2 linked regions of the Astyanax mexicanus genome follow. The main gene of each other region encodes a partner of the protein of the gene in region 2 in a complex. Links are inferred from orthologs where the notes say so. Each region holds a gene or a part of one and is shown on either strand. Other genes may lie near its edges.

Evidence for each region.
Region 1: the proteins of serpina10b (region 2) and proza are in contact, whole or in part, in a crystal structure (PDB 3H5C), measured with the Homo sapiens proteins. The link is inferred for Astyanax mexicanus from reciprocal best matches to the Homo sapiens genes SERPINA10 and PROZ. Residues at the interface, in NP_001094077.1 of Homo sapiens: Arg88, Lys89, Ser91, Met92, His94, Asp95, His257, Asp259, Lys260, Tyr261, Asn282, Phe283, Lys305, Met306, Asp308, His309, Leu310, Ala311, Leu312, Asp314, Tyr315, Leu316; in NP_003882.1 of Homo sapiens: Cys129, Pro131, Cys141, Leu142, Pro143, Ser151, His250, Met251, Arg252, Asp254, Ala257, Glu259, Asn260, Glu284, Lys285, Asp286, Phe287, His290, Leu291, Thr336, Thr337, Arg338, Arg390, Ser392, Leu393, Trp394, Gln397.

The regions. Positions count from the first base shown.
Region 1 is NC_064426.1:12,401,959-12,418,791, reverse strand, and holds the start of proza (protein Z, vitamin K-dependent plasma glycoprotein a), read right to left. Parts: upstream 8,125-16,833; 5' UTR 7,919-8,124; intron 4,376-7,918; 5' UTR 4,335-4,375; coding exon 4,259-4,334; intron 3,274-4,258; coding exon 3,104-3,273; intron 2,759-3,103; coding exon 2,734-2,758; intron 1-2,733. UniProt on the Homo sapiens protein: Appears to assist hemostasis by binding thrombin and promoting its association with phospholipid vesicles. Inhibits activity of the coagulation protease factor Xa in the presence of SERPINA10, calcium and phospholipids.
Region 2 is NC_064421.1:14,478,349-14,494,179, forward strand, and holds serpina10b (protein Z-dependent protease inhibitor), read right to left. Parts: upstream 6,168-15,831; 5' UTR 6,064-6,167; intron 5,730-6,063; 5' UTR 5,706-5,729; coding exon 5,108-5,705; intron 4,996-5,107; coding exon 4,722-4,995; intron 4,138-4,721; coding exon 3,990-4,137; intron 3,564-3,989; coding exon 3,372-3,563; 3' UTR 3,264-3,371; downstream 1-3,263. Other genes in the region: atxn3 (ataxin-3), read right to left, coding at 8,614-8,651, 8,849-8,901, 9,012-9,171, 9,771-9,934, 10,232-10,367, 10,479-10,566, 10,657-10,723, 10,822-10,907 and 3 more. UniProt on the Homo sapiens protein: Inhibits activity of the coagulation protease factor Xa in the presence of PROZ, calcium and phospholipids. Also inhibits factor XIa in the absence of cofactors.

The sequences.
Region 1 (16,833 bases), on a different chromosome or scaffold from region 2:
TTCCATCGCAAATCTGTGGTCAGGCACATAACCTGCTTGATCGTTACACTGAACATGGGCTTATTAAAAACGGTAAACGGTTGATTAATAAAACGGAGCAGTGAGTGTTAAAATGAACATTACATTGTAATGTTCTTCTGTCTCTTTATTTTCCTTATTCAGAACTTAACTTCTGCCCGCCCGTCAGGTTCACATAGTCAGGCTACCATTACCTCTGGTTCTAGTTTTAGTTTTTAGGAAGTGTTTAGATAATTATGTTATAGTTAAGGTTATAATAACGAAACTTGTTTTTTGTACAAATGTTTCATTTTAGAATAAAAACCTTTGCACCGATTGTTCAGTGTTCAATCCAGTTCAGTCAAAAATAAACATTTTATGTTCAGATATTTTTATTGTTTTTTTTCTTCCAAGTATCGTTTTGGTATCGAGAATCGTGATACTACAGTTGGTATCGGTATCGAAGTCAAAATTTTGGTATTGTGACAACCCTAATATATATATATGTATGAAGCTCATATTTTATTAACAGTAGTTTAGTTCAATTATTTATTTACAAAATTACCCAATTGAATCTTTCCTTATTTTCATACCATTGATTGAACAAAACTATTTACACATTCAAACTAACTAATCCAAGAGGTTCACATACTTTTTGCCACTTACAAATATGCAATACTGAATCATTGTCCTCAATTATACTTGTTTGACTGAGTTCTCTTTATCTACTTTTGTGAGGATCTGATGATGTTTTAGATAATATATGCAGACAATTCTACAGGGTTCACAAACTGCAAGCACCAGTGTAAATACAAAAAAACTGAAATAGCTTCACAAATTGTGTGATGCATCATTTAGACATGGACCTGAACCTAAACGGAATGCAAGAGGCCTACCTAGTATTGCTATTTAATTTTAGTAAACTGTCCAATAAGCTTGAAGAAAAAAGAAAAACACCTTTGGCATAAAGCTGAGAACAGACACTAAAAAGTATGAACAATTAACATCTAAATATGAGCTTACATACAGTGCCTTGCGAAAGTATTCACCCCCTTTACATTTTTCACATTTTGTTACCTCACAACCTGGAATTCAAAGGGAATATTTGAGGGTCTGCATCATTTAATTTACAGACCATGCATACAACTTTCAACATTTAACTTTTTTTTTATTGTGAAGCAAACAACAAATAGGACAAAATAACTGAAAACATCAGTGTGCATAACTATTCACCCCCGTAAGTCAGTACTTTGTAGAGCCACCTTTTGCAGCAATTACAGCTGCAAGTCGCTTTGGATAAGTCTCTATGAGCTTGCCACATCTTGCCACTGAAATTTTTGCCCATTCCTCATGGCAAAACTGCTCCAGCTCCTTCAAGTTAGATGGTTTCCGTTGGTGAACAGCAATCTTCAAGTCTGACCACAGATTCTCAATTGGATTAAGGTCTGGGCTTTGACTAGGCCATTCCAATATGTTTACACGTTTCCTCTTGAACCACTCAAGTGTTGCTTTAGCAGTATGCTTTGGATCATTGTCCTGTTGGAAGGTAAATCTCCGCCCTAGTCTCAAATCACTGACAGACGTAAACAGGTTTTGCTCAAGAATATCCCTGTATTTAGCACCATCCGTCTTCCCCTCCACTCTGACCAGTTTTCCACTCCCTGCTGCTGAAAAACATCCCCACAGCATGATGCTTCCACCACCATGTTTCACTGTGGGGATGGTGTTCTTGGGGTGATGAGATGTGTTGGGTTTGCGCCAGACATAGCGTTTTCCTTGGTGGCCAAAAAGTTCAATTTTGGTCTCATCTGACCACAGTACCTTCCTCCATACAGTTTGGGAGTCTCCCACAGGCCTTTTTGCAAACTCGAAACGAGCCTTCCTATTTTTGCCTGTAAGTAAAGTTTTTTTTCTGGCCACTCTTCCATTAAAGCCCAACTCTATGGAGTGTACGGCTTATTGTGGTCTTGAACAGATATTCCAGTCTCTGCTTGGGAACTCTGCAGCTCCTTCAGGGTTACCTTTGGTCTCTGTGCTGCCTCTCTGATTAATGCCCTCCTTGACCGGGCTGAGAGTTTTGGTGGGCGGCCCTCTCTTGGCAGGTTTGTTGTGGTACCATGTTCTTTCCATTTGATGATGATGGATTTGATGGTGCTCCGGGGGATCATCAGAGATTTGGATATTTTTTATAACCCAACCCTGACTTATACTTCTCTACAACTTTATCCCTGACTTGCTTGGAGAGCTCCTTGGTCTTCATGGTGTTGTTTGGTTAGCTTAATGGTGTTGCAGCCTCTGGGGCCTTTCAGAAAAGGTGTGTATATACTGACAGATCATGTGACACTTAGATTGCACACAGGTGGCCTTCATTTCATTAAGCATGTGACTTCTGAACAATGGGGGTGAATACATATGCACATGCCAATTTTCAGTTTTTTATTTTCATATTTTCTTTATATACATATATATATTTATTTTCTCATTTCACTTCTAAAACGTAGACTATTGTGTGCAGATGCATCACATTCAATTCAGATAAAAATAATACATACATTACAGGTTGTAATGTAGTAAAATAGGGAAATAATCCAAGGGGGTGAATACTTTTGCAAGGCACTGTAGTTCCTTATATTGGTAGAAACTATAAGAATAAACATGCATAATGAATAAAACAGATATAACAATTCCTCATTTTTATTAAGTAATCTGCCTAAAAGCACTAAAAATGCTACTTACCAATGTACACAGACCAGAATATATCCTAAAAAAAGAGAAAAAGTAAATTACATGTATGCTAACTGGTAGTGGTACATGATTCAAAAACAGTGTTTTCACAGGCACTGGCAAACAACTTAAAAAAAAAGCAGTTATAACAAAAAAAGAATCTGATAAGAATATTTGATAAGAATATTTAATATAAGTAAATCTTGAAAAATGCCAGTCAGCTGTCAGAACGTGCAGATCACATTTCTAAGGCAAAACAAGACATATAGTTACCCAAAGAATACTTGAATCTGCGTAGCCATGATATTAGCCTTACATTTTACCTACCATTAATTTGCACCCTGTGTTTTATGAAGTATTAAATTGAAGGTGAGGGACTCACAGTGCGATAAGTGTCCTGAAACACCTCTCTTGCTTCTTCATAATTACAGACCTCCTCCAGACATTCCCTCTCAAGACTGGCAGGGAGTGTATTCTCCTCCTGTCCTGCATTGGCTCTCTTCTGACGATATATAACTTCACTGGCCTCCTTCTGTTCAAGGAACACTGGAACTGAAACACAATATACAGTACAGCTTCCTAAACAAATTATTCCAAGAATCAGGAAATTGACAAAAAATATTTGTCACTTTAGTTCTTTACTTGAATTACAAACTACAACTAAAGACATATTACTGTAACTACTCTTATACAAGTTTAACAAGCGTAAACTGTGTTTTTTTTATATAAGCAACATTAGAAATTAATTATATGAACAATGCTGAATACTGATAGTTTGAATGTGAGGAGAAGTAATTTAAAGGAGAACTCTGGTGTAAAATGGACTTTTGGTGTAGTAAAGCATGGACTCTACATAGACTCCGTATAGTGCAGCAGCCAGCACCAAGAGTAATGGCGGCGCTCTGAGCTAAAGCTCGCGTTATAGGATGTAAATAGTGGTTTTTAATAAGCTTCTCATGCACTTTTTACGTTTTAAATACCTCGTTTTAAATGTCAGGGCTCTCCGGATTTTAGCAAGAAGGTGTGGAGCTAATATGAGCTGGATAACAATAGAAAAAGCGATTTATCGGGTCAAATTATGCCACGTGTCACCCAATCTGAAGGGTTTTTGTACAAACTGTTAAAATTTCTGGATCTCGGAAAGCTGTGGGAGAACGGAGATGTGTCATTCATCAAATGTAGGTACTTTTTATCATGTTTTACTACAACAAAAGTCCATTTCCAGTTCTTCTTTAAGAATAAACATGTAATAAACATATATATATATATATATATATATATATATATATATATATATATATATATATATTTGTGTTTTATAAATTAGGATATCAAACTACCAAATATCATACATTAATGTAAGACAGTAGATAGTAGTAGTAAACAGCTAGTTTGCTAAAAGAAAAAAGTAAACATAACTCACAAAATAATCAACTTTTGTTCAACTGAAAACATTAAAATATATATATATATACATAAATTGTGACCAAGCATTCTGATTTATGCAGATTTAAAAAAGAAAAAAAAAAGGCTTTACCTCTGTTGATGCCCAGTCTAGCAGTCACACAGCCCAGCAGAAAAGTGATTAAAACTGCTGTAACCAGGCAGCCCATTGTACTGAATCCCTTCGAGTTAGCTGGTAGTCTGTGTACTCCTGTTATTGAATTTTAAAATGGCATTAAAAACAAGCTATAACACAGTGATTACCTTTTTATATAAAAAATGTACACTACTTAGATATATTATGAAAAAAAAATAAATAAATCTAGAAGAACTAAATCATAGTAACTGAAAACAATGTAATTTTATAAAATAACAAAATTTTTACACTATGTAATACAGCATGGTTTTAAGCTTATGCATTAGCAGTCCAATTGTAAATCTATTATTGAAGTAAAGTTCAGAAGTTTGTAGTTTGAGACACTATTTGCTTTGGGCACCCCTGGTCAAACTTACTCTTAAAGTTAAAAATAAAATTACCCCAAAAGGCATAAATCTAAAGATGAAACACTTTTGAACATTTGAAGCAATATCAGTGTATTATTTTAATTTTGTACAATTTCATTGTTCAGCGACACCTGCAGAAATATGACCTATATGCAAGAGTCAGCAAAAGAAATACTCAGCTTCAGAAGTTTGCAAAAGACATCTAAACCCTAAAGCCCTAATAATTTTTTAACAAATCCTGGGGGCCGATCAGTTTAAAATAAAACTTTTTGGCTGCAATGAGCAAAGATATATTTGGAGAAAAAGGGCTCACAAAATGAATTCCCTTCTTGTTGAATAATTAGTAATATCTTCCTTTGAAAGTAATCAAATGAACAACTCAAAAGTCTTTATTTTCTTTAAACAGAGGCATTACATCAATACTAAACCACTAAATATACTTAAGATACTGAGTCAGCTTCTACAATATTAACTGTTTCAAGATACCTGAACACACAGCTGTAGATTCATCTACATCTTTCCAGAGCTACACCCATTAGAATAGAGGCTAATACAGGTAGCTTCAAATTCAAACATTTTGCAGCTTTTTTTATGTGCATGTGTGGGCCAAGATTTGCCCAAAGGAAACCATGACTGCTCTGCTGAATGGTTAACTAAAGTGATTGGCTTGAATCACAGGCATGAACTCAGATGCTATGCCAGTACTTGTTAAAGCCACAAGGGGGTGTTTGAACCATGTGAAATGCCTCTCATATAAAGCTATACCAGAGCTATAGCAGAACCACAACACTGTTGTTGCTTCCAAAGATCAACAGTTCCTCGAATGGCCTAAATGTTTGGACAACAATGAAGACTTGGGTTTAGGTAATTTGGGAATTGTTGTATTTTTTCCACAATGAGAACGTTTTTAATAAACTGTTTTACAGAGTATGTTTTTAATGTTAATTTGTAGTCCATATAATAATATCTGTAAAAAATTCATGAGGTAATATATGCTGTAAAACTTCATTGTTAAATACATTTTAATTGTGTGTATATTTTAATTGTGTATTATTTAGTATTGATGTAATGCCTCTGTTTAAAGAAAATACAGACATCTGAGTTGTTCATTTGATTACTTCCATGTAATTTTAATTCTACTTCCTGCAATTTGAATTTGAACTGAAATTCATGTTAATATTCAAGAATTGAATTGGAATTTATGGGTCATTCTCAATTCAATTCAGAATATTCCAATATCCGGTTATACTCATATATCAGCAGATTGCTTCAGCTGTAAAATATTACCATTAGTCAGCACATAGTCAATCTTACTGTAATGAATGCCAGACATGGGTGAGACACATGCAGATTAGAAACAGAGAATATGTAAAAAAAAAAAAAAAAAAAAAAAAAAAGGAACAGAACTACAGGGAAATCCAAGCACAGGGAGCTTTCGACAAGAAAACAAGGGACCAGGTAAACATTCCATATTTTTGTCATTCTGGTTGTGGTATTTAGAAATAATTGTGAGATTATGTTTAACACTATTAAAAAGATAAACATCAGTAGATTTAGCTAACCATTAAGTGAGAAATAGCTCATGCTTATTAACACGTTCTGTTTAGTCCTAAGAGGTAGAATGTGACTCTTAACTCCTTATTAAGTTTACAGTGTAAAGTAAAGCATTTAATTTACCAATACAGTGTTAGTAACAACAGATTGAGCATATAAGTAATTAACTGTGTGTGATGTTTTTTAAAGCTTCATCATATTAGAGATCTTCATTTTCTGACCATTTATTACTATAGAATGATGAAAACGGGACACAATTCTTTTTGGAAAAAAGCTAAATCCTTCCTCCAGTATTTACATCACATTTCAATGTAATAAAAAGCACGTCTAAGCTAAGGACATCTCTACATCAGAGACCAAGTTGGAAGGATGACAGGAGTTCAATATAGTCTTTTTCTTTCTTTTTCTTTTAAGAAAACATTACATAACAAAATAGGCAAAATAGTTTTAGCATTTTTTTTATGTCTGACACTGATACTGCAGCCTAATGATACTGAAGAAAGAGCTTACGCTTATTTACATGTTCAGTTTGTTTAGTCCATGTGTCCAATTCAAGGCTAATTTAGATTTTTTGAAAGTTTGATGCAACATTCGCTATTTGATTAAAAATGACTAAGTCATACGTGCCGGATAGCTGTTCTTTTTATCCTAGTTGAAATATGTCTTAATGTAAGCAATAAACATAAACAGATTTTTGTTAGGCTGAAAATTATTTTGTATTTATTAAAATGGCATGAATATTTATTGACAATTAAACTAAAAAACTTCATTCATCAATTATTATGTATGTTACGCACACCCAAACCCCCCAACAACTCACCCCCCACCCCACGCGCCTTTTCTCTGGCTGATCCAGTCACGTGATCACACTCATGCAAACAAAGCAGCAGACAAATGCATTTGTTGCCACTGTAATGTCAACGAAGCTCAGTGCAGATGTGATCATGATGTTCTGATAATTGTCTTACAATATCGCAGAAACACAGTATTGTAATAACTGGCAATGTATTGTAGTTGACAAGCCTACCTCAAATTATTAGCCAGGCGGTTTCAATAGGGTGGTCCATGTTACGTTTATACTTCTCCGTAGACTTGTTATATAATTAAATTATTAATTGAACTCCAATCACTGCCATGTTTACAGGTGTATTAACCCTAGCGGTTAGTCATTCAGACTGCTTCTACAAACATTAGTAAAAGAATGGGTCGCTCTCATGAACTCCATGAATTCCAGCGTGGTACCGTGATAGGATGCAGTACCTGTGCATCAAGTCGTGAAATTTCCTCACTACTAAATATTCCACAGTCAATTAACTGTCAGAGATATTATAACACCGTGTTATTATAATATTACTAAATTATAACAAAGTCTTACAATAAACGAAGTCAACAGGAAGTAAATAAGGATAATGTAAAACATAATGGTAGTGGACCAACAGTGGGTATGCTTTTTCGGGGTAATTTATACATTATAATACGATATTAAAGCACAGGATACTTGTATGCAGTATATTTTAAAGAGCGATATTCAACATTTCGCGGATATTCGCAGTGCCAGTTTCCGTTGTGTTGCGTCCACACTTAAGCTAGATTTTAGGTTTAGATATCGAACTACAAAACCACCGTTTGTGCTATTTAGGCAGGGGAGGCCCTTTAGTCGCATGTTCTTTGCAGCGCAACTACTAGGTCTACTCACCTTCTCAGAGAGATGCGTGATTTAACGCGGGTTATCTTGCAAAGTTCTCAACCTTTCTGCTCTGTATCTTGGGATGTGTGATCGCTTGTAAAATGATTTCCCGTGTATATTGATCCACTATTTCAGGACGTAACTGCAGTATACCCTCTCTGTCCTCACTCACTGTGTCAGTAGTTATTATTTTCTCCTCCATTAGAGGGAGCCCTTGAAATATCCAGAGCGCTGCACACCACTGTGGTGTCCAATCCGCTTAGCCTGCCTCCTTGCGTTCTCAGACGGCCGCCATATTGGAGGGGCCAATGCGCCTTCAGTGCATTTATTAGTACTTAAGGAGGTGTATAATACATAATACAATATTACAAGTCAACCATTTTCCCAATTTTTACACGGTTTGGTTTGTTACAATCAGCAAAGATGTAGTTATAATATAGATCGCTGTCACACATTACAAATACCTGCTACTGCATTATGCTATTTAAATTCAAGCTGACCTGATGTGTGTGTGTGTATATATATATACACACACACACATCAGGTCAGCTTGAATTTAAATAATGCAGTAGCAGGTATTTGTAATGTGTGACAGCGATAATATAACACTTAATATTAACCTGTATAAATAAATTTATTTATACAGGTTAATATGACATACCATACATCTGTTTTTGTAAAAGAGCACAATACAAAATATTTCAGCATGAACGCACATACTTGTAATGTGTAACAGCGTCCTGTATCATTACTACATCTGTGACGTTTGTAACAAACCAAGACGTGTGAAAATCGGGTAACAATTGGTAAAGTTGTGATTATTATAGGTGTATTATACGCCTTCCTTAGTACTAATAAATGCACTGGGGGCGCACTAGTCCCCTCCAATATGGCGGTCGGTCCTGAGGTAGGACCCTCAGGCAGCTTTCGCGACGCCTGTTAAAAAAAAAGTTATTTACTCCAAACACGATGCAGTGTTGCCAACTTAGCGACTTTGTCGCTATATTTAGCGACTTTTCAGACACTCTGGCGATTTTTTTTTTTTGTAAAAAAAAAGCGACTAGCGACAAATCTAGCGAGTTTTTGTGGTGTTATTGGAGACTTTTGGCGACTCTGAGATGAACACGCGCTCTTCAGTTACTGTCCTCCGCGCTGCAGCGGGCGCTGCCGTCAGCCCCGCCCCACACCACTCACACTGCAGTCTGAGTGTAAGAGCACACACACCGCTCCACCAACACAATGCAAATTAATCGCGCGAGCCCACAGCCGCCGCTGACTGAGCCCGCTCTGTATTTACAGAGCAGAAGTATTAATATTAATGTGTCTGCAGTGTGACACGAACAGAAATCCCTTAATTTAACTCACACAGTATCAGTCATTCACTCACCTCATTCACCACATAGCCTGTCACTCACCTCCTCCACAGTGTCTGCCTCTTTATAAAGCTAAATATCTATTGAACCATTGAACAATTTGTATATGATAGGTTTAAAAATAAAGAAAACTTAAGAAAACGTAAAAATTAAAAACAAAATAAAACAAAGCTTAATACAAAACTAAAAAAAAATAAATAAAATAAAACAAAGCTAAATATCTATTGAACCATTGAACAATTTGTCTATGATAGGTTAAAAAAATAAAGAAAACTTAAAAAATAAAATAAAACAAAAAACGTAGACTAACAGTTCCGGCTAACTGCTGCTCTTATAATAACATTTAAGAACATGGCAAAAAACGTATTTATGTAATTCACATAAAAATGAAGTTACTGTAAAAAAGTGACCTCCTATTTAAAAAGCAACAGAAGTTGTTCATTTGTAACATTTCTAACACATTTATGGTGTTTTTACTCACTTTTTTCTCTCCCACAACCCTAATCCTTTACAGCTTCAAAAACATGTATTATGCAAATTAGGCGATGACGTCATTTCGCGACTTCCAGCGACTTTTAGGAAAGCCAATAGCTACTTTCCTTACTGAGGAGTTGGCCACACTGTCACGATGTTTGGGAACCAATCCAAGTCAAGTCAAGTCAAGTCAAGTCAAGAGGCTTTTATTGTCATTACATCTGAGTACAGGTACACAGTGTGATGAAATTACGTTCCTCCGGAACCATGGTGCAACATAGAACAACAAGCAATAGACAACATAAAGTGCAGGAGTGACGACAGTGCAACATAAAATTATAAAATTATAACGTTAAATAACAATAAATACAAAGGACGAGACAATTTAAAGACAGGACAGTGCAGTACCGATACGGTATAATAAGTGTATAGTGGGGATAAGGTGCAGAGATGTGTGACATACTGTAACATATAGAACATATATAATCACAGCAGTTACTGAGGTAGAGTTTATAGTTTTTAAGAGTGCAGCAAATAAAGTCATGTCAGCCTCTGTGTGCTGACTGGGTGTGTGTGTGGGTGAAGTTCAGTTCTTGTGAGTGTAAAGGGGGGGGTGTACAGTTTAGTTTTGTGTGAGTGTGTTGGGTGAGTGGTGGGTGGGGTGGGGGTTCAGTTCTGTCTCTGTGCGTTGAGAAGTCTGACTGCCTGGTGGATGAAGCTGTTGCAGAGTCTAGTAGTGGAGGCTCGGATGCTCCTGTAGACTGCAGAGTCCGTGTGAGGGATGGGTGGGGTCGTCCACAATGCTGGTGGCTTTGTGGATGCAGTGTGTGGTGTAGATCTCGGCGATGGAGGGAAGAGAGACTCCGATGATTTTCTCAGCTGTCCGCACTATCCGCTGTAGGGTCTTGCGGTCTCCTCATTTTTTTATCCTGACGCAAATATTAATGTATTGCTTCATATAACCATTCACTGTAAAATGTGGTTGCCCCTTAATTAAGCGCTGCCGTTTCAAGAAAACCGCAGCAGTTTTCACACACACTCTACACACTTTTTGTCAGTTCTGTCTGCTTTACGGCAAAATCACGCAGCTCCCATAGGAATGCATAGGCAGGAGAGCACGTGGCTCAGACGATTAGGCGCGAAGGGAGAGAGAGGTCTGATAGCTGCCGCTAGCTCCAGCTGCCGTCATATTATTAACTCGTGTTTACTGATTCTCCTGCTAGGTGAGCATTGTCCGCTTACAGGGCATCCTAGTTCATAATTATGAAGAGCTTTATATGTTTTATTTGTTTCATAAAAATAGCACTAAATGTGTTTAAAAGTTCTGCCGAAGTAGACAAGCTTCAGTTTAAGCTTGAAACTCTAGTTTATCTGCTCTGTATTGGTGCATTATATGTTCTCTACATGCTTTAAGCATGCAACTCAAATGTTTTGAGTAGAATATTAAGTGTATTTTAATTACTTAAAATGCTCTTTATATGCTTTAAATATAAGCATTTAGTTCCAGAAGTTTTGGGTGACATATTAAGTTGTGTTTTATTAACTTTAATCGCTCTGCTTATGCTTTAAATAGAAGCATATAATTCAAGTGTTTTGAGTGAAATGTTAAATGTATTTTATTGACTTTATATCGCTCTTTATATGCTTTAAATATAAGCTTTTAGTTCAAGTGTTTTAAGCGAAATACTAGAGGTATTTCTAGTGTATGTTTGTTTAATAAGCTTATTGTAAAACAGTATTTGGGTATTTTCATTTTTATTAATGTGTACTTATTGATTTAGTGTTCTCTGTATAAGATTAAATTCTGCTCAGACTATTAGGCGAGGGAGAGAGAGGTCTGATAGCTGCAGCTAGCTCCAGCTGCCGTCATATTATTAACTTGTGTTTACTGATTCTCCTGCTAGACTGGTGGTGTGCTCAAGCTAGTTTCCAGACTGGCTTCAGGGTCGCGCAGAGTGAGAGAGAGTGAGGCGGAGAGTGAGACGGAGAGTGAGGGAGAGTGAGACGGCCGCATCTGCTCTAAACCTTTCTTGGATCACTTAAGTATACGGAATTGAGTTTTAATTTTTTTTTATTTTTTTGGGTACCCAAATAGTTTTTTTTTTTCCCTTCAATTTTTTTCTCCCGGAGTACGAATTGTTCAAGGACTGTTCCAATTCCCTTTTTTTGTCTACTTCACAAACACTTAAAGGGACTGTTCTCTGGAAAACAAATATACTTTTAAAGGTTAAAGAGCTCTTCCATATTGTTCAGTGAATATACTTATTTTTGGGTTTAATCACATTCATACAAGGTGAATTCAGTGTGTGACTGTGTACATTTTATATAAATATATGTATATATTTTTATTTTTATACTCATATTATTTTCATAAGTGTCTCTGTATATAAAATAATTGATATCTTTTATTCATTGCTAAGAGAAAGAAACGCTCCAGTCCACTAAACTCTTATTAAGTTGGACACAGGTAGTACACTGCTACCGACCCAAAATAAATGCCCTTCACTACCAGTTATATCAGTTTCTTTTGTGGCTTATTTATTTGGCTTGGAACATTTTAAAGTTTGGTTACATATTGCTTCATATAACCCTTCACTGTAAAATGTGTTTCTTCTTAAATGCTAAATAAACGCCCTGACTTTTCAGGCGATGGAAGTCTTGGCTCAACTTTGAATAACGCTGCAAAGGAGGGGTAGTTTGAGAGACGCAGTGCAGTGATGTATAGATTTTCAGGTGGGGCAGTACGGTGGTCGAGAAAGCCCAACGCAGTGCAAATTGAAAAGCGCTGAAAAAGCACACATGAAAGATGCTGTACCAGCTGTGTACAAAGGACAAGTGGCAAACAAGCTTCTGAAAAGTAAGTTATGTTTATTACCTGTGATTACCACGGTTGTGTGCATATTATTAAAAGTTCTGCTTCACAAAACACCTTGTTTGCCACTTATTGTCCTTTGTACACATAGTGAAGTCCGAGACGTTACTGAAGACGCAGCTTAGCTGGTACAGCATCTTTTAAGGTCCCCCAGGAAAATTCCATTGTGTTGTGACTCACTTCCGTTGTGTTGTGGTTGTATTTGCAGCGCGTTTTTCTATTTGCAGCGCGTTTTTCTATTTGCAGCGCGTTTTTCTATTTGCAGCGCCTGTGTTGTAATTTTGATGGATGTGTTTTGTGCTTTTGCAGCGCTTTTCAATTTGCACTGCGTTGGGCTTTCTCGGCCACCGTAGGGCAGGGAGAGAAAGCCTAGTGATGTGCATTATTGCTGTATACTAGTGTTGGGAAAAACCGCACTACCCTTTACAGCGCCATTTCCAGTGCGTTCCCCCTGAATTCTTTTAAATGGTTGAGATGAGTAGAGAAGTCAAGAGGAGTCAGGATACCAAGTTTTCAGCAAATTTAACAGTTTATTTCAGAAGATCTTCCGGGAACAATACTCCGCTCAGAGAGTCAAGGAGAATGTTCTAAAACCAAATGACATACACAAGATTATATAGATCATCCCACTATGGTGTGGGTGAAGAAGGTTGAACAGCCCGCCCCTTTGGTCCCATAAACTGTATCCTATCGTGCCATGACCCCATGCCTGCCTGCCACCTACGTCTTCAGTATAATAAATCTATTGTCCTCCCGCCTGGTTCTGGCAACATAATTTCAGTAGAAGTTAGCTCCTTATATTTGGTCTGAGGGGACGGGTCAACCTCCCTCACTCTCAAGGTCTAACTAACCACAGATGGCTACACATGTGTTGTGAAACATTCTTGTGCAAAACTTAATTAAACTACATTTGTTATATGATTCTAAAGAGTACTGTGTCTGTTAACATATGATCACCAACATGAATAAAGATTACAAAGTGCTAAATAATTCCATTTTGAATACAGGTAACATATAGATTGATTAACATATTGATTAAACCTTATTAAAATCACTAATGGATTATACTGATTGGGTTTTCATTAAGTATTTTGTATGATTATAGGGCAACATACAATTTTGTATGATTAAAGGGTTATATGTTTTAACCCTTAATTGATAGTTTCCATGATTATAAGACAATGTTTTAACCTTTAAATTCTCAACACTAGTAAATCTAAAAAAAAAAAAAATAGAATATCATTAAAAGGTTACTTTATTTCAGTAATAAAGTTCAAAATGTGAAACTCTCATATAGATGTATTACAAACAAATTGATCTATTTTAATAGTTTATTTCTTTTACTGTTGATTATTATTAAAAAAAAAATCAGTGTCTCAGAAAATTAGAATATTAGTGTGGGCAGTGTGTCAATTCCTACTGGAACATGAAATTTGCATCTCTATGAAAATTGTCAGCAGAGGGAGGTATTAAGTGCTGTAAGATTTTCCAGGAAAACACTGCACTGACTTGGAACTTGATATAACACAGTGGACCAACACCAGCAGATGACATGTCTCTCCAAATAATGACAGATTGTGAAACTTCACATTAGACCTCAAGCAGCTTGAACTGTGTCCCTTTCCACTCTTCCTCCAGATTCTGCTCCCTTGATTTCCAAATAAAATGTCAAATTCACCGATGGTCAGTGATGGTTTGGAGAGCCATGTCATCTGCTGGTGTTGGTTCACTGTGTTTTATCAAGTCCAAAGTTAGTTCAGTGTTTTTCCAGACAATCTTACAGCACTTCATGCTTCCGTCTGCTGACAACTTGGATTTCATTTATGGATTTAATTTTCCAGCAGGACTGGCACACTGCCAAAAGTACCAATTGGTCTAATATAATATTCAAATTTTCTGACATACTGATTTTTGGGTTTTCATTGGTTGTAAGTGATAATCATCAACAGTAAAATAAATAAATGCTTAAAATAGATCACTCTGTGTTTAATACATCAATGAAATAAAGTACATTTTTAATGATTTTCTATATTTTTGAGATGCACCAGTATATGTTAGCAACCTGAGAATATGGAGAGTGGTACAGAATCCACAGGCACTTTTGGTACTGAGTGATCTTCTAACAAGGAAGATTTTTCACCACCACCAGCCCCATCTTCACCATCTTTTGTTCAGGGTTTCTTCAGTCTTACTTGTGTGATCCATGAACCTCTTTGCTTAAATTCCCTTGGAGCTAACATTAGCACAGAGGTATCATAGGAAAGTTTAGAAGGTCCGTGTACATTTTGACTGTTTGATTCTTCAACTGAATAGAGAACGGAGGAAATTAAAAAGCAACTTGTTTTTTTTTTTTGTTGTTGTTTAGTTTAAACACATGACAGGTTTGCGTGCAAAGTCCTTCTCCAATCAGGAACTAGATACCAATCCCACCACAACTGACAAAAAAAAACCTCTAGACAAAATTTATGGTGGAGGTAACTGAAAAACCAGCTCAAGGCCAGCTGGTCATCCAGAAAACATACCCTATATTGGTCAATAGCTAGTTAACGAGATTCATATAGAGTATGCTTTTTCTGGATAAACAGGTGGCCTTGAGTTGGATTTTTTTAGCATGGAAGTATATTAATACCACTGAGGGAATCTACAGATCTTGGAAGCAAAAATTCAGTATGACAGGTCGGCCAACACAATTAGATTTTATTTGATGAAAGATTAGCGCCATCCCCTCGTAATTCTTGTAAATCCCGGATAATAAGACGTATCTTGTTTATGATCATTTGGGTTCAAGCGCGTTGTGCGTAATTTGTAATTACATGTGTGATTACTTGTCATGTCAGAGCATGCACTCCTTTGTTTAAATTTTTTACTTGTTTGGTCAAAAAACTTTTTGAAAAGGTCAATCTAAATTTTGAAAAGGTCAATCTAAACACAACTTTGTGAACATCCAGAGGTGAGTTTCCCGTACAACGTCGGAGCCTAGTATTCAACTAACGTGTTACGTTGCATCGTTAAACTAACTAACATCTGAAGTACGAACGTTTCCCAAAACCATCATACTTTGTTGGTACCACAGAAGTCTGAACTATGTTGGTTTGGACCACCGTGGTCTTAACTAAGGTATTTCCAGACGTGATTGGTCAGTCTTTCCCACACTCTAAAAACACTGGGTAGAAATTGACCCAAATAAGGTTGTTTTCACAACCCAGTGCTTGGTCAGTATTGCACAAACACAGCATTGGGTAGAATTGACCCAGCATATTGGGTTATTCATATGACAATGCATTTTGGGTTAAGCATTCAATCCAAACGCTATGTAATTTTAACTACTTTGCTGGGTTAACTGAACCAAAATTTGGGTTGATTTTTAAGTATGACTAAATGTAAAATTTAGACCTTTAATGAAAGTTTTTTTACACTATAAACATTGGGAAAAAAATAAAATACATAAGTATAAACAATAAAATGCTTTATTGTATAATTACATTATGATCATTTCTCAAAGTCATTTCTTAACAACAATAGGCATCAACAACAACCATTTCTTTTCCCCAATAATGACCACAAAGGATTGCGAGCAGTGCTGATCATCACCTAGAAAAAAAATAATCCTTTATTAGTCCTACAGTGCTGAAACAGCAGAAAACAAAAAAATCTCAACACATAAAACCTGCATTGAACATTAAAATACTATACAGTGGTATGTTGGCATGTACCTAGAGCAAAAAAACAAATGGGTATGGTCTTGTGACTTGTGCCTCAGACAGGAACTCCCCATAATAGTCCCAACATGTTGTAAAGAGGGGGAATTTAAAACAGAATTAGTTCTTTTATTGCTTTGAATTAGTACTAACATGCTTAAATAACACATGCTGAGCGTAAGCTGCTATCAATCCAATGTTTGTATTACAATACAATTTACATCAGAAGAGAACACTTTCATCTAAAACCTTATAGACAAGTCAGTTCACTTTGTGACCATCTTTGCAACACGACCGGACGCTTATGTAATACAAGACTTATGTAGTGCAATACTTTCACATAGGGCCATGTTGGTTCTTTTAATAAAATAAATCATTTTTTAATAGTTTTAAAATTTCTCAGATTATATTATTAAATGTGTGTATTAGTCTAAAAAATGCAAGTGACAAAAAGGCAAAATGAAAATAAATATGTAAGGTGGCCAATACTTTTTCACAACAATGTAT
Region 2 (15,831 bases):
TGATGTTTATATCTGTCATGAAATTAATACTTAATAAAAAAGTTGTTTTATGAGATGTTGAATTACTTATTTTGTATTTAAACATTCCATTTCAATTTAGTTATACAGTGATGTTTAAAGTTTTAAGGAATTTATGTCTAATGAGGTATGTTGAAATTTGTTTTATTAAAATACACAGTTCAAAATAGGATATTTTCACAGCTTGAGTCTTACTGAGAATAATTTTCAACAGCAAATACCACATTTTGTTCAATATTACTACTCCATACAAAACTCAAGAAGTACATCATTAGAATTTGTTATTTATTCACAGCATTCACACTCTGTGTTTGTTGTGTAAAGTGTTATTGTTAATTAAGTAGGAATCCTTGTAATGACTCTCTTTACCGAAACATTGACTCTCTTTACCGAAACACCATTCTCTTTACCGCAACACATATTTATTTACTAATTATTTTACTGTTATAAAACAAATTCTAGTTTATAATGGTATTTGGATAAATTGTATTTCTTCATAGGTCATCTGTACTAAATAAGAAATTATACATGTAATTTTTCAGTTAAATATCCTGAAAAGACAGGACATGAATCATGAAATCTGTTGCGGTAATGAGACAAATCATAAAATAAAAAAAAATGGGAAACTTATAAATATAATATTTTCTGGGTTATATACACATATGAGCACAACTGTTAATAATATCTATTTAAAAAGTAACAAATGTGTAACTTTTAAACCATATCTGTTCTGTGTTATCATGTTGCGGTACTGAGAATGTGTGTGCTCTGACTGACTAAAATGGTGCAAAATATACAGAAAAAAATTATAAAATTAAAAAAAAAAAGTATTTCTAAAAAGTTCAGACCCTAGTCTTGCATAACAAAAAGAAATTTTATATTTAAATGCCTTTTGAAATTTTTCAAGTGTGAACCCTTTTAAATCTGTTTTTCGTGAGAATCACCCAATTGTGCCATTCTAGTACTCCAAATTCCTACGGTTATATAATTTGAAATTAAACGTTAATAGTACGAATATTTTTAAGAGTGTTTGTCAAGACATCAGTTGTGTCATTTGATAACTTGATTTTTTTCCCTTTATAATAAGATTATAAATTGTCGTATACTGTAACGTTACATAACCTGGCTCTACATTTCCAAAATGTTACACTGGTGTATATTTGTTGGCTAGAACTGGTTACAACAAGCTTGTTGAGCTGTAAAAGTCGTTTTCTTTTTATTTGCAGCTTCTTCCCCTTAATACCACCTTCTAAAATTTCTGTTTTATAAATGTAGGGTTTTTTTCATTACTCTAGTTAGCTAAGCTAGCCAACATAGCTAACTAACCTAACTAATGCACGAGTTAACGCAAATGCAGCTGTTCAGTATCAGAAACACACATGGCTAGCTTATCCCAACAGGTCTTTCTGGCTAAACTAAAGGTTAATTACCGAAGTTAACAGAAATATACGGTGTTCAGTGTCAAATAATGATAAATATTAGACTTAAAAACTAATTTAACTCAAAAACAGACAGCCTTGTTTGAGAGACTCGTGTTTGCCAACGTGGTATTAGTGCTTAAACACAGCCTGCTGTAAATATGATCTTCTTTACTGCATTAAACACAAGAGGGAACATTAAAATTTCTAATGATAAGCTTAAGAGAGAATTGTACTCACAGTATTAATCCTCTCCTCCTGTTTAATACGCTGCTCGTGTCCAAGCACAGCTCCTCACACACATGCCCAACACGCGGACGCAGCCATTACACCAGTGACGACAAAACAGGGTTGCCAGATATTGCTAACCCACTACATTTAAAGTAGAACTGAAATCCCCCTTTTCCAGATTTATGGTTTTCTATTGAACAGTGTTTCTTTTAAACATGGTAAAAAGACAAATTGTATCAGTAGAAATAAATTCGGATTATATCAATTACTTAAGCCCTCAGATAACCTCACTGTAAGATTACGATAACTTGAAGGAGATTTTGAATAAATTAATAAATAAAAGTCAACAACCTAAACTTTCCTGCCATAAATTGGCCTACTCTCATATTTCTTTCAGTTCTTAAAGCGCAATGCTGTGTAACAGTAAATCAAGGTTGCCAAATTTTATTTAAATAACTTTTTTCCCCCTAATTAAACACAATCCATTTCTACATAATAATGGCAGCGTATTTGTGTTTTTTCTGATTGTGGGAACATGACTGTTAATATATTAATGTAATGTAATGTACATAAATTAATTATGTATTGTAACATTTAGTTCCAGAAATCTAAGTAATGTACATTGAATTAGTACCATTTGAATGGTTAAACGAATGGAACATTCAATATAAAATGAGTTAGTTAGTTTTAACCCATTCTGTTGGTAAGGTCAGATGAATGAACACAGATACACACTGTGCTGTGATGCTCTGAAGATGTTCCGTATATGTCACTTAGGAACTTAATGAATTAAAGCGAAGGACAGAGGGCTGTAAAGAACTTTCCAATTATTTTAAATGGTCTGTGATACAACACCATGGGCTCTTTTGTACTAATGTGATACTATGTGAAATCAGTTTTTATATATATTTTACTATTCTTCCAGTAAACAGTTACCACACTCTTTTCCATTACATGTATGCTCAAAAATGATTTAATTCAATGACTGTAGAAAACTTGCACAGTCTGTTTCTCATTTTCTCCTCTAAACTGTGACCAAAGTTTCCAGTGTCTAATTTTAATATCTAGGAGTTTCTTGCACCAACATTGTCAAAAAAATCCATTCAAAATATTCTTCTTCTCTACTGTAGAAAGTCAGTGTTTCCCTGAAAAAAATAAGTGATTGACAGGCTTGACTGGAAGAGACTGCCTGCAGAGTTGAAGAGAACTGCATGATACTATAAATACAGGAATATCTGACATTTTCACTTAAGCCTGAATAAAAATAACCTTATAACCTCCTATGTTATGTGCCAAACATTGTACTGATGCTTTCAAAAACAGATCTCACCCATTCAACTCCAACAGAAGTGAGATGTAGTATCTGGCACAACAACCTTAGCAGCAAATTCTTTATGTCCTTGTCAAAGTCGTTCAATTTGTTCCTGCTTCCAAGACACCAACTTCAATAATTGACTGTTCACATGCTGCCTAAAATGTATATCCCACCCAGTGTTCTTTACTTAATCTCACAGTAGTTTTAAAGTGTTGTTGGTCAGTGTATATGCAAGTATCTCCCTTTCCAATTCTTCCTAGAGATAAATGAAGGAAACCAGATAATATGGATATTAGTTTTAATCCCAGAGAAGACAGAAGTGAACATGATCAGAGCTGAAAAATAACTGATTCTTATCAGGGCACGATGAGATGGCAGCACTGGCTGATTCAGTACTTTGTGGGGTCAATCACTCTGCCCATGAAGAGCAGACTGTTGGTTGCTTCATGGTATATAAAGAAGAAGAAAGGCCTGTTCACAGTGAAGGTAGTCGGCATAGAGTATGCAGTGATTCCCACGGTTGTTGCTGCTGCAGCTACAGTGCCTTTCTCGTCCACTTCAATCACAGCTTTGTGCAGAACCTGAACACACATGAAGAATTAATAATAAGTGAAGAACAGTTTATTATACTGTACACAGTTTCTGTACTTTTATATATTATATCCAACTGAACTATGTAGGCGACACGTTATCATCCTGGCCAACAGTGTTTTTTATTATCAACTATGAAATTAATGCCACTGCTGTAATGCTAAATCACTGCCTCTTCATTGGTCTGTTATTTCCTTTAGCAGCTGACCAAACCTGGCAGTTCTCTTTTAATAAGAGGTCATAGTTTCTTGAAAACATATTAATAAAATGCACCATAATGACTTGGCAAAAATATTTTTTACAATCGTCTGTAAAGTTGCAGTTTTGGAGATTTATTTTGTTTTGCATGACAGTGACATACAGACAGTAATCAGTATAATAAAGCAGCTATGTCACATATAAATATTCACACTGACCTGTGAGACTTTTATACCAGATTCCTGACTCATGCCTTTGAGGTTAGCCGAGTATGTGAAGACATTCTGAATTCCCATGGATGGAAGAATCTTGTGCAAAGAATATGACTGTTCCAATTTAAATTTGGGTATGTAGACTTCCAGTTTTCTAGGAATGCAAAAGAAAGCAATATTAAAATCCAACAACTTTGCTGTATTGCTTTAGCATATTTATGTCAGTTATTTAATTTACTTGTAAATATAATTTCATTGTAATAAAACAATGTAATAAATCCTGATGGAAACACTAGTGTTTGCAAAAAATAATTAAATGCTAAAATACATGGCGTTGTTGCAAGAAAGTTGCAAAAAGATAGACCTACAGAAGAAAGTTTGAACAAAGTTTCTACATTAATCGTTTTTTAAACTCATTGAATTGATCCTGGAAGAATAAAGATAAGAATTAGGAAAATAACCTAACAGATGATAACCTCAAGACCTGATTTTATTAGAAGCTATTTTCAGCTTGTCTAAGCTTGTCTTTTATAGTTAATTAATTTTGTCATTAACTTGATAATGCTTGGGATGATCAATCAGCTTTGTGATGTTAGTCATGGTTGTCAATCAGACTGTACATTAGCTAAACTCAAACAAAAACATACCCTATGCTGATCAAGAATTAAGACTGTTTGCCAGATTTTTAGCAGGGAATAACAAACATGAAAATGCATAATGTTGACATTTCAAACTTACGTTTTTTTCAGGTTCTTGATCCAGTTTAGAAACCTCTCAGCATTTATTTCATCATCTATGATGGTATAATCAACATTGCTGTCAGGAAGGACAATGAGCATAGCTGCGCCACCCAAATAGGGCAGACGCAACACCTTAGCCTTGAGCTCGTCATCACTGGCAATGTAGAACTTATCTGTACTAAACATCATTGGCACCTGGACAATATTATATTTGTCTATATAAAAGCGACTTTTTTCAGTGTTGTTTGGGTTGAAAGGTCTCTCCCAGGCACCTGGATATGAAAAAAAATCATAATAAGAAACCAATAACAGGTTCAGTTTTTTGCTTAAGACGAAACTCAAGATTTCAAAGGCAATTCAGTCTGCTGGTACATCATTACTCACCCTGAAAAAAAATGGTATTGATCAGCATCATCTGAGTCAGGGGTTCAATGCTGGACACTATCTCTTTCACTTTATCCCCAGTTTTCTTCCTCACATGTTTATTAATTGTCTCCTTACTGATGTCAGCTTTACCAAAGTCCACGTTTTCGACATCAGCATCAAAGAACTTTTTGATCTGATCACTGAAAGCCCTCTCTATTTGGAAATGCAGGTCCACGAAGAGTGCTGTTCCCTGGTCCAGTTTCAGCGCTCCGTCATGGGTGATGTTCCCCTGGAGGTGCTGGAAGAGCTGAGGAATGAGCTCAGGCTGCCCATTCTGCTCCAGCGTGTCCAGATTCAGCCCTGACAGGATTTGGCTGCGAGTGGAGTTCCTGGCTGCCAAAGATAGTGCGGCGAATGCTGTGGAAACACTCAGCGGCGAGAAGAAAATGTTGTTGTCGTGCTGGCTTGAAATCTTACGATAAAGGTTCATGGCAAAGTCTATATTCTTAAAGGTCAGATCAGTGATGTTAGGAGTTTCCTGAGTCTGGAGGCTAGACTTGAAAAAGGAAACACAAATAAAAAGGAACAGCAGCACTCTGTACTCCATCATCGTCATGATAATCTTCTTTCAAGGTTTGATCTGAAGAGATAAAATGTTTTAATAAACTAAAGATCAGCAGCTGTTTTCCCTAAAATGTATTTTAGGCTCTCTATAAACAACCAAAAATAAAAAATAAAAAAAATGTTGGCCTTATTAAACCTAAGCACCAAATGTATACAAAGATATGTACAGCGATCACTAGTTTTTAAACTGTAGAAACAATTGTCTTTATACAGGGAAAAAGACACAAAAATGGAAATTCAATTAATTAAAATACAGTTAAAGTGATATGCTAAAAAACTCAGAAACAAATAGAGGCAATGTATTATAGACGTTTATAAAAACACCATATATTGTTTGCCATATAACTTACCAATAAACACCAGGTAAAGATTGTGTTTCAGTCTGGTCTGTTCCCGATGTTTGGAGAAACAAAGTGCAAGTGAGCCCTGAGGATTATCTATTAACAATTGGATGTTTAAACATGGGGAGGTCCAGACAGCAAGTTTAATCCAAAACAAATCACAGGGAATGATTGAGTAATTGTCTTAATAACATTTAATATAAGGCACAGCTCTTTGTTTTTAAACTAAGAGAAAATGAGAAAGTCTTGGAAAATGTGCTCAAAAGTTATGTTCAACATTAGCAGGAAAATAGCCCAAAGCCAGGTTTCTCTATACTGTTTACACTGTTCTTTATAAAATAGACTTTCATCTAAACAGTTCATTATATTGTATCATACAGTTATTCCCACCCCTAATGGGTTGCCATGTATGTCCTTTTTGTAGAGTTCTTCAATTTTAGTTTGAACAGAGACAGAGACCTGTTGTGTGACAGTAACATACGGTAAGTGAAACCAGAGTGAAAAGACTTAAATCTAAAGACTGAAATCATTCAAAAGAACAAAATTATAAAATGTGGACACCATTCAACAGGGAAAAAACATCATTTAATTTCAGAAAGTAAAAAATCAGTAGCTACAAAGGTAATTGTTGGTATTGGTGCACGAGCATAATGATCACTTAATCTACTGCAGATGGCTGGGAGCAAGATTATGTACTAAAAGAAAAAGCTTTCGGCACTCACTATCTGCTTTAACAATGAATCAAGTCTCTGTAAGGAAGAAAAAGAATGAATTAAAAAAGGGGGTGAAAAGATGTATAATTTAATCTCTATAACAGCATCTTGTCTTGCTACCTATTAATAGGCATCATAACTTTTGAGACTGCTTGAAAAACCATCACCCGCACCACTGCTGCAGACATTAACCTCAACTATTTATTTGCAGCACTAATAAATTCAGTGAGATGTACCTGTATTTTCCGTAAAACTCCATTACTTTACTGCATTGGAAGTAGTGAGGAAGCAGTCTAATTTTAGCTGCTCTGTCAATGTTTATATGCCTTTACATTGACAGGCCAAAAGTCATGGGACAGCAGTATGGGGAGAGGAAAAAAAAATCATGAACAGTTACCTCAGGGGATGACTTCAGAATGCACACACCAGTATGAATTGTGAGGTGTTATATTGTAAATCAGGCTGAACACTGGCCAGCAGGAATTATCATATCAGAGTCAGATAGATAGGGCATTACATAATTAACATGACTGGCGGCATCTGGCAGGAATTGTCCATGTAAACAGAAAAGCAACTGTTGGCAGAAACATCCACATTCAGTGCAGAAGTCTCCACAGAAATAGCCCACAGATCCATGCAATGCAGTGCTTTCATGAGACATGGCAAGTTATTGAACACGATACTAGTTAATGTCCCATGACTTTTGGCACACCAGCGTACATACTAGCAACCAATGCATGTTATCCTTTAACAGATGCGTCATCTATGCGGGCATGGTGTGTACACACATGCACACACACACACACACACTCACAAAAAAAACACACACACATATACACACAGAAAGATTAAGGAACATTGTTGAAGTTCAAACAGCAGTAGCTGTTGGGTTATACTGAGAGCAAGGAATCCATGCAGTGTAAATACTGCTCACGGCTGTGGTCTCTCATTTAACAAGTGATCCTTGTGGTCTTAGGACAGTCAAATTAAACTTCAGCTGTGCAGAGCAGAATAAGACTCAACAATACATACATTTTTCATTCAGCTCATTTTTCCCCAAAATGAGATTCAAGCGGTCATACTGGACCCTTATCTGTGAAACCTTCACCAAGAAAAAGGTTGTATTGAGTTTCCTCAAGCAATCTCTTTAAAGCACCCCCTAGCGCATTACCCAGTCAGACTGACAAGGACACGGTCCCTCTTAAATTATGCCTGGCAAAAACAGATAAGACAGGGTATGGTGTGCCCAATAAACACAGACATCTAGTGGTCCTTAATAGCCTCTGCACCCTACAAATAAGGGTTTCAGGCTCCTTATCATTCTTTTCTGGGTGACATATTAATGAAAACATCCTCTCTCTAAGAAGGATTAACTCACCACAGCATAAGCATACTTGTTCCACTCCTATACCTCCTTTTCCACCATGAATCTGAAGAACTACAAACAGATCATTATTATGAAAATTATATTAGCATATTTAAAGGCGCTGTGGTAAAAAGGCCATAACAGACTTAAGCGAGAAAAACTGATCTGGGCTACCGAGCCCTCCCTTTTCCTCCAGACTTTACTTTACAAAGTAAAGTAGAAGTGCTCAGAACACTGCTTTAAACAGTAGATCATGGTACTACTTCCCATGAAAATGTCTGTTCTTTAAGTTCTGTCTATTTAAGAGCCTTGTGAGTGGATCTATAGGGTGGTGCATTAGTGATGAATGGCCATCTGGTCCTTCCTGACGTTCAAACCCGAGGCAGTCTAAAGAGGGAGGAAGCTGCTTGAGGTGGACGGGGCAGCTAGTAGTTGCTTGCTGTAGAGCTCTGGCTATAGATCCCCATAGTCACTGTGTCTTCACTGGCTGCGTTTATGCCCAGCGTCCGGTTCTCCCCCTGAGAATAAAAAAAAGCAAGGCATAAATGAATGAATATTAAAAAAAAAGTTATTTACACATTATTTGCTTTGTTTTACTCCAATTAAAAAATATCCCACTTGCATGTCTTGCTAAAAAACATTATACTTTTCAGTCAAGTATGTAAATAAACCTAGAGACCTTGTCAATGAAATCTAATTCATAATTTGGACCTACCAGTAAGTTTTGTGTCTGGTGAAGAGGCTGACTGAGCCTGTTGTTGGGACTGCCTGTATAGTATATTTTAAAAACAAAACAGAGCATATAGCAATGGTAAATAAGGCACAACTACAGGCAACAGTCATTTCATCTTAATAAGAGTGAGAATTAAGCTTCATGCCTGTCAAAATAGGCCTGTCTTCTCCTGCGAAGCTCCTCTGCTGTGAGGCTTTCACTTGGAGTGCTTTGTGACACGCCACCTGCAGTACTTTCTGTGGTGCTTGGAATTATGGTAGGTGTGGGTTCTTTAGTACCAATAATTGTGCTGCTCCCTGAAGCTCCTGGAATAAGGGGAAATAATCACTGTCAAGCAAACCAAAAATTTATTAAAATAGCTATATAAAGTGTATGAAATGAACACTCACTCTGACTGGGCATTTTTCCTGGGAATGTTCTTATATACACTGATAAGCACAAACATTATGGGTAGTACTTGAACTAGACAGCATTAATGGAGATTTTCCTTTGAATAACTATGCTTAATCGCTGTCTGGGAAACTGCCCATTGTAAGTTCTTACAATCAATGTGTTGAATAAGGGAGAAATGGGCAGGTGTGAAAAGCTGGGTCACTTTCACAAAGACCAAATTGTCTTTGGCAGCACCACCACCAAACAAAACTTAAAGAATCTACTAACATCAGATACCACAAGAGAGCTGGGGTGAGCCTTGTGAAAGACTAACAGCATATTAGACTGTTTTGCTCAACAGTGTAGACACAATTTGTGTAAAAATGGTAAAAATATCAATATTCGTGGTTCAACTTGGCAAAAATAAGTGGTGAAAGGTAAAATGGATTAGGTCAATAATATGCAGTTTTTATTTAGTTTGTAAAAGAAGAAACACCTGAGAATAAACAATAGAAACAGAAATATAGTATACCCTGCATACTGAGCTGTATGGCTCTGCGAAGGTCAGCCTCTTCATCCTCCACTTCAATATCCTGTCTGCTTAGAGCTAAAGCTTTCCTCAACTCCTCCTCATCTTCATCTATTACTCCTTCTTCCATACCGTGCCTAGTTTCCAAACCCTGCTGTACTGAGGGTCTGGAGAGCAAGAGAAAAAAAAAGACAATTTTGTTCATGTAGATGTAAAGCCAAAACCTACAGTGTGTGTCATATTACCAAGGATTGTGTTGATGTCTGTAAAACTTCTATTACATAATAATGAACCAGTAGAACCAAGTATTCCATAAAAATTTAATTTAATATGAACATGTTAATTGTTGATGCCAATTGATGCGCATTTTGGTTTAATAATATTAATAATCACTTTAACACAGTTAATGAAATTTAGGTTTGTTACATTTAAGAACACAATGGAGAGTGCTAATTAATCTATACCTTTGACCAGCACTTGTCTGGGCCTCATCCTCTCCAATGAGTTTTGGTCGGTGCTGCTGCTCCACTCTCATGATTCGCAAAATCTGGTCTGCCTCGCATTCAGGCAAGTTCCCTCGAATCACAAAGATGGAATACCCTAAAGACAAAACATGAACACACACATAGTAAAGGTTCTCTTTAAATACAGGGGAAACTCTTAACTTTAAATGTACTTGAACAGTTCCAAAGGTACTCAAAACGACTTTACCTTCTTGTTGTAGCTGTGCAAGGAAAAGTGCCAGGTATGTATCTGATATTAGTTCTGGTCCCGTTAAAAGCGAGTTCAAATTAAACCACTACAAAGAAGGACAAGCTATGTATAAGATTTTACTTCTCTTTAGTAGAATAATAATCAGACACTTTAAGGTATTGTTTAATGGTATTACCTGCTGGCCCAGCTTTCGTACTGTAAACCAGTGTTCCTTGTAGTTACATATAAAGGCTTTTTCATTTCTAAAATTAAAGACAAAATTTGAGTTAAACATTTAAAAATAACTACAACAGAAATACTAATTCGAGAACAGTTACACATAAAACATAAGGAAACTTACACCGGCTCTATCATTAGTCGCTGGTACTCCCGGCTGTTGAACAGGATCAGCTCCAAACCCCACACTCCTAAAGCATTACTTATCACCTGCAATGGCAACATAAATGCAGTTTAACTACAATTACAAAAGAAAAAAATGTTTTTTTATTTTTTTTATACAAGTATATTTTCTATAAACATCCTTAAAATATATGCTATTCCATGTCACGTCAGAACACAGATTTTGAACCCACTATAAGATCAGGAATTAAATGCATATTTGTGGATATTTGCTTGACAGTCTGGAGCATGCAGAACATTTCAGGTAAATAGCTTAACAAGCAACTGAACAAACTTTACTTGATGCTAAATGACTTTTGTACATTTGAATTAATCAATGTGTTTTTTTTAAGCTTATAAATAATAGTCTTATGTCAACACTTCCAATGCACTGGTGACATCTAGCAGTGTGGCATGGAATAGCACATTAATAAAACATTGGGAGTTGTTATTATTATTAATAACAAACCATTTTAAATAACAAAAAATTCTCACCTGAATGGAAAAGAACCCGCTGTCATCCATGTTTCCAGATGGTTGCTGGGATACAGAAAAACAACCAAAACATTGTTAAGCTGCTGAATAGCTTATTAACATTAACTGTGACCTCAACATCATACTTTTACTCACCTGTAAAAATGTCCTGTACTCCTCACTCAGCACACCCCCCTCAGCCATCCTCATCCGTTCCTCTTCATCCAGCTGCTGTGCAATCGACGACAAGTCCACTGGAGTGAAGTATTCACCCTGAAGTAGGTTGTTCAGGCAGTGCTGGGCACATAAAGAGCCCTCTTGCTGTAAGGCAATGAATTAGCATATTTTACATTCTGAAAATAGACAGAAACTACACATTTCTTCCACATAATAAAATATCAGACACATATTTTAAGGCAATGACTTTTAGATTAAACAATAGATGACAGTAGTGTAAACTCTTAGTAAAAAAAAACATTGAAAATACATTTTTATGGCTAAATTAAATGTTATGGCTAAAATTAATCTCCTAGCAAATCCTTAGAGCAATGTTTTATAATTTTGGCACAAAAAAAAATAATACAAATAAAAATCCATTGATTTCAGAAAAATATATGGCAGGTGCTAATAAACTGCTGGACACTAGTGATTTCACAATATTTCATAATATTTTTTGTGGGCGACATATTACCCCAAACATAATAGCAAAAAATTATATTGTATGCAACTGATAATATAGTAGCATATTAATGCACTAATCCCATTTTAAAGAGCAATGGACTTTTACTTTTTAAAAATGTTTAGACAGTCTCATAGTCCACATACAAACTCATTCACATTATTTTGCTTTTCTTGCTAAGAAAATTCTTTGGACATGGTCTGGAAAAATTATTGATGTAATTTCCATATAGTGTACGACAAGTCAATAACATAGTTATAGTGACAGGCCAACAGGACACATACTTTATTTTACAGACACCACCACCGCTAATAGACATGTGGACGACATTCCAAACAACCATTCTAGTAGCGCTGGAAAATATGGCCAAAAAGTATATTACGATACATTTCTTAATTTCTGTTATAAAATATAACGATATGAATTATATGAACAGCATAGTCACATGCTGATGAAGCTAGATGATATGGTAAATATATTATATCATAATATATGAAATTTTTGACATAATTTCCTGAATTTAAAATTAAAGTCCCAAATAAGTTAAAGCTAATTAATCTAGTTAGTCCAACAAAACAGAAAATAAGCAATCACAGTAACTTAGCTAGGTAAAGTAAGAACTAAATATTTACCAACTGTCAATAATTTAGACAGTAACTGCTGTTAATCATATACATTTAGTTAGTTAGTTAGTTAGTTAGCTATGCGCACTTAGGTTATAATTATTTTGGTTAGACAACTATCTGTAGCAGTGGGTAGCCCAGGTCCAGGAATTAAAAATCCACCGCAGGAATTTGTTCAAACCGCCAGTAAGGCACAGCTGCAGCACAGCCGCCCGGGCGGTTACACCCAAATCCCGGGCCGGATTTTTGCTTTCCGGAACTTCTTTTCCCAAACATTGAATTCTCAGCTACACCAACAGCGATACTATACCCATACAACCTCGAAAACATCAGAACACAATTAAAAATAAACCCAACAAGCACCCCCTAACTCACACGCTAGCTACTGCCCTGTAACCGGTCAAAACACCGCCTATCCGCTGACTGGTTATCAGTTAGCTAACGAGCTAGCTTAGCATGATAGCGAGCTAACAGCCTAGCAAAGAGCTAAGAGGAGCCAAAATAAACTCAGACACTTTCCCTAAACTCAGCTCTATCAGTCTTAATAACCACAGGACCGAGCGCGCCCAAACTGGCCGGTAACGAGCTTATAAAAACTGAGGAAAGAAAAGCAGAGCTCACTTTTTCGTGGAAGATAGACTCCATGTTTGAATTGTCTATGAAGCATCATAGCTACTGGCCAACTTTGACCCCGCGCGTGACATCAGCAGAGAGAGAGAGAGAGAGAGAGAGAGAGAGAGAGAGAGAGAGAGAGAGAGAGAGAGAGAGAGAGAGAGAGATGAATAAAAAATAAATAAAAATAAAATATAAAAAAATATTTTATATAATAAAAACACAAATATACCAAAAGACAATATATAATACATATAATATTCAAAACATATGGGGAAACAAAAGATAAACACAGAAAAACAAACAAATACAAAGTCAACTGCAAATCGCTTACTTCAACATCATCATTTATTGCACAAATACACACAAATTCTGGAAAATTTACCTAAAAGATTGTAATATGCATACTCCATCATAAATCGTGCAGTCACCATAACTAGAAACATCCACCATTTTTTGTTATTGTCATTGCTACTTTAGTTAATGCTTTAAAAATATTGGACTCGTAGTCTACAACTAAGGGAGAGAGATGTTAAAAAATGTAATATAAGGCTTTTGATGTTCTTGGTCCATATGGCCGTACCCACAAAAATTTTTTTCTAGGCTTCTTTTCATACTTTCTATTTCTAGTTCAAGAGCACCTTGCACATCTTACAGATCTGCCTTTGGATATTTTGAGGCCTAATTTAGCACAGCACTGCCTGGACTGTAGGTGTTCTCAGGGCAAAGAGTGCTGCAACTATGTGCTCAGCAGTTTACTTAATGCCTACAAATGTTTATATGATTTTTTAGGTGTTATTTTGTTTCTTTGATGTTGAATTTGATTATTCTGTCTCCAGAACACAACTAGTATACAACAAGGCTGGAATGCTTGATAGATACGTCCAGCAGATGGTGCTATACACAAGAAATTCATGGTTGTAATTCAGTCTACAGAAACAGCTGCTGTATTCACACTGCACATAAAGAATAATAAAACTGGCAGATAACTTTAAACCTATAGCATAAACACAGACTGAACATAAACTACAGCTTGGCTTACTTCAGGATTTTAGCAATTACTGTAGAAAAGTATGGACAGCACAGCATCTCTCAAAAGTGAAGCAACCGCAGGTCATGCGATATGTAGCTTTGGCTATTCCAATAACAATGCAACAGCCCATTTTACAGTCTGGACTCCAGCCTGGGTGTAAATTTGACTTGTTTGGCTTAATTTCTATAGAATGAAAGGGAATGAACCACAGTGTTATGTTCTTTTGTGGTTACTGTGTTAATATCCAATATTTAAACTGCTATTTTCTATATAAGGAAAATATAAAAATTTTGTGTCTGTGTGACTCCCCTCTCCTGTCATCAGTGTGTCATTACCTACAGCCTATTTAAAGCAAATAGTCTAAAATGCAAAGTTTAGTATCTTAAGGACATTAGGCTTAACAGGTACAGGAAACCTCAATGTTATGTGACATGGGTTATGGGCCTACAATATACTAGTAAATGCAAGTGTTATTGAGGATATCAGAAAAAATTAGAATCTTTCCTAGTATAAATTACAGTATAGAAAATGTAGGAGCTTTAATTAGAAAAAGTTAGTTGCTGATGTAGCTTGTGGCATTTTAGGCTAAATCTACTTGCTATAAATGTTTTTGTAATTATGAGTTTAAGTGGATGAAAGCTGGACATCCAGACAAAAACATTCTTAACAATGCCAGCATGGGTAAGCTTGGTCATACTGGGTATCTAGCTTGCTTTGGTTGATCATACTTGTTGACCAAATAAACTATTAAACTTAAACATACCCTCTACCTTAGTCAAAATATAGGGTGGTAAACCAGCTTTACACTCGTGAGCTGGCCATGTTGTTTTTCAGCTGGAATGTGACCAAAATTGTGCCATTTTGCACACTGGTTTAGGCTTATGCTTTGTGAACTTTACTGCCTGAAAAGACAGTATAAACTAAATTTTATCAATAATGTATAACCATAAGAACCACTGCTTCTCATTTTCTATTCAGAATTTCATTACTGCATTCCCACTTACTAGAATTAGGTCACTAAGATCACAAATCCCAGCATCAAACACACACGCTCACACGTTTTTAACTCCAATTTTTAAAGTGACTCTTCATAGAACTAACCCAAATCTACGATGATGGCCACAGCTGGTTTTTACTGTTTTTTATCTCTGTAGGTGTGTGCACTATAAGTTACTAAGCCACTGTTTTGCAAGTGCTAGATTTGTGTTAGATTTGTAAACGCTTGTATTACAGACTGCTGTAATGTACAGTCATGTGCAGAATGCAAATGTCACAGAGGACTTAGGTCCATCCAAGCGCGATTGTAAAGCCCAGTATTTTTAGAGAAATTCTTCCCAAATGCAGCCAGATTGGATAATCTGAGCGCACTGAAAGGGGGGCCAGCGTCTCGCAGTTAGTGCTGCTGTCTGTCTGTGCAGCATCCTCCATCCTCGTGACTGACCTCACATTGAAATGCAGAGCAGTGGATCATTAGGAGAATTGGTTCGGGGCGGTGCAGAGCAGAGCACGGCACATTCACCACTGGAGGGATCAAATCTGTGCCATCTGACG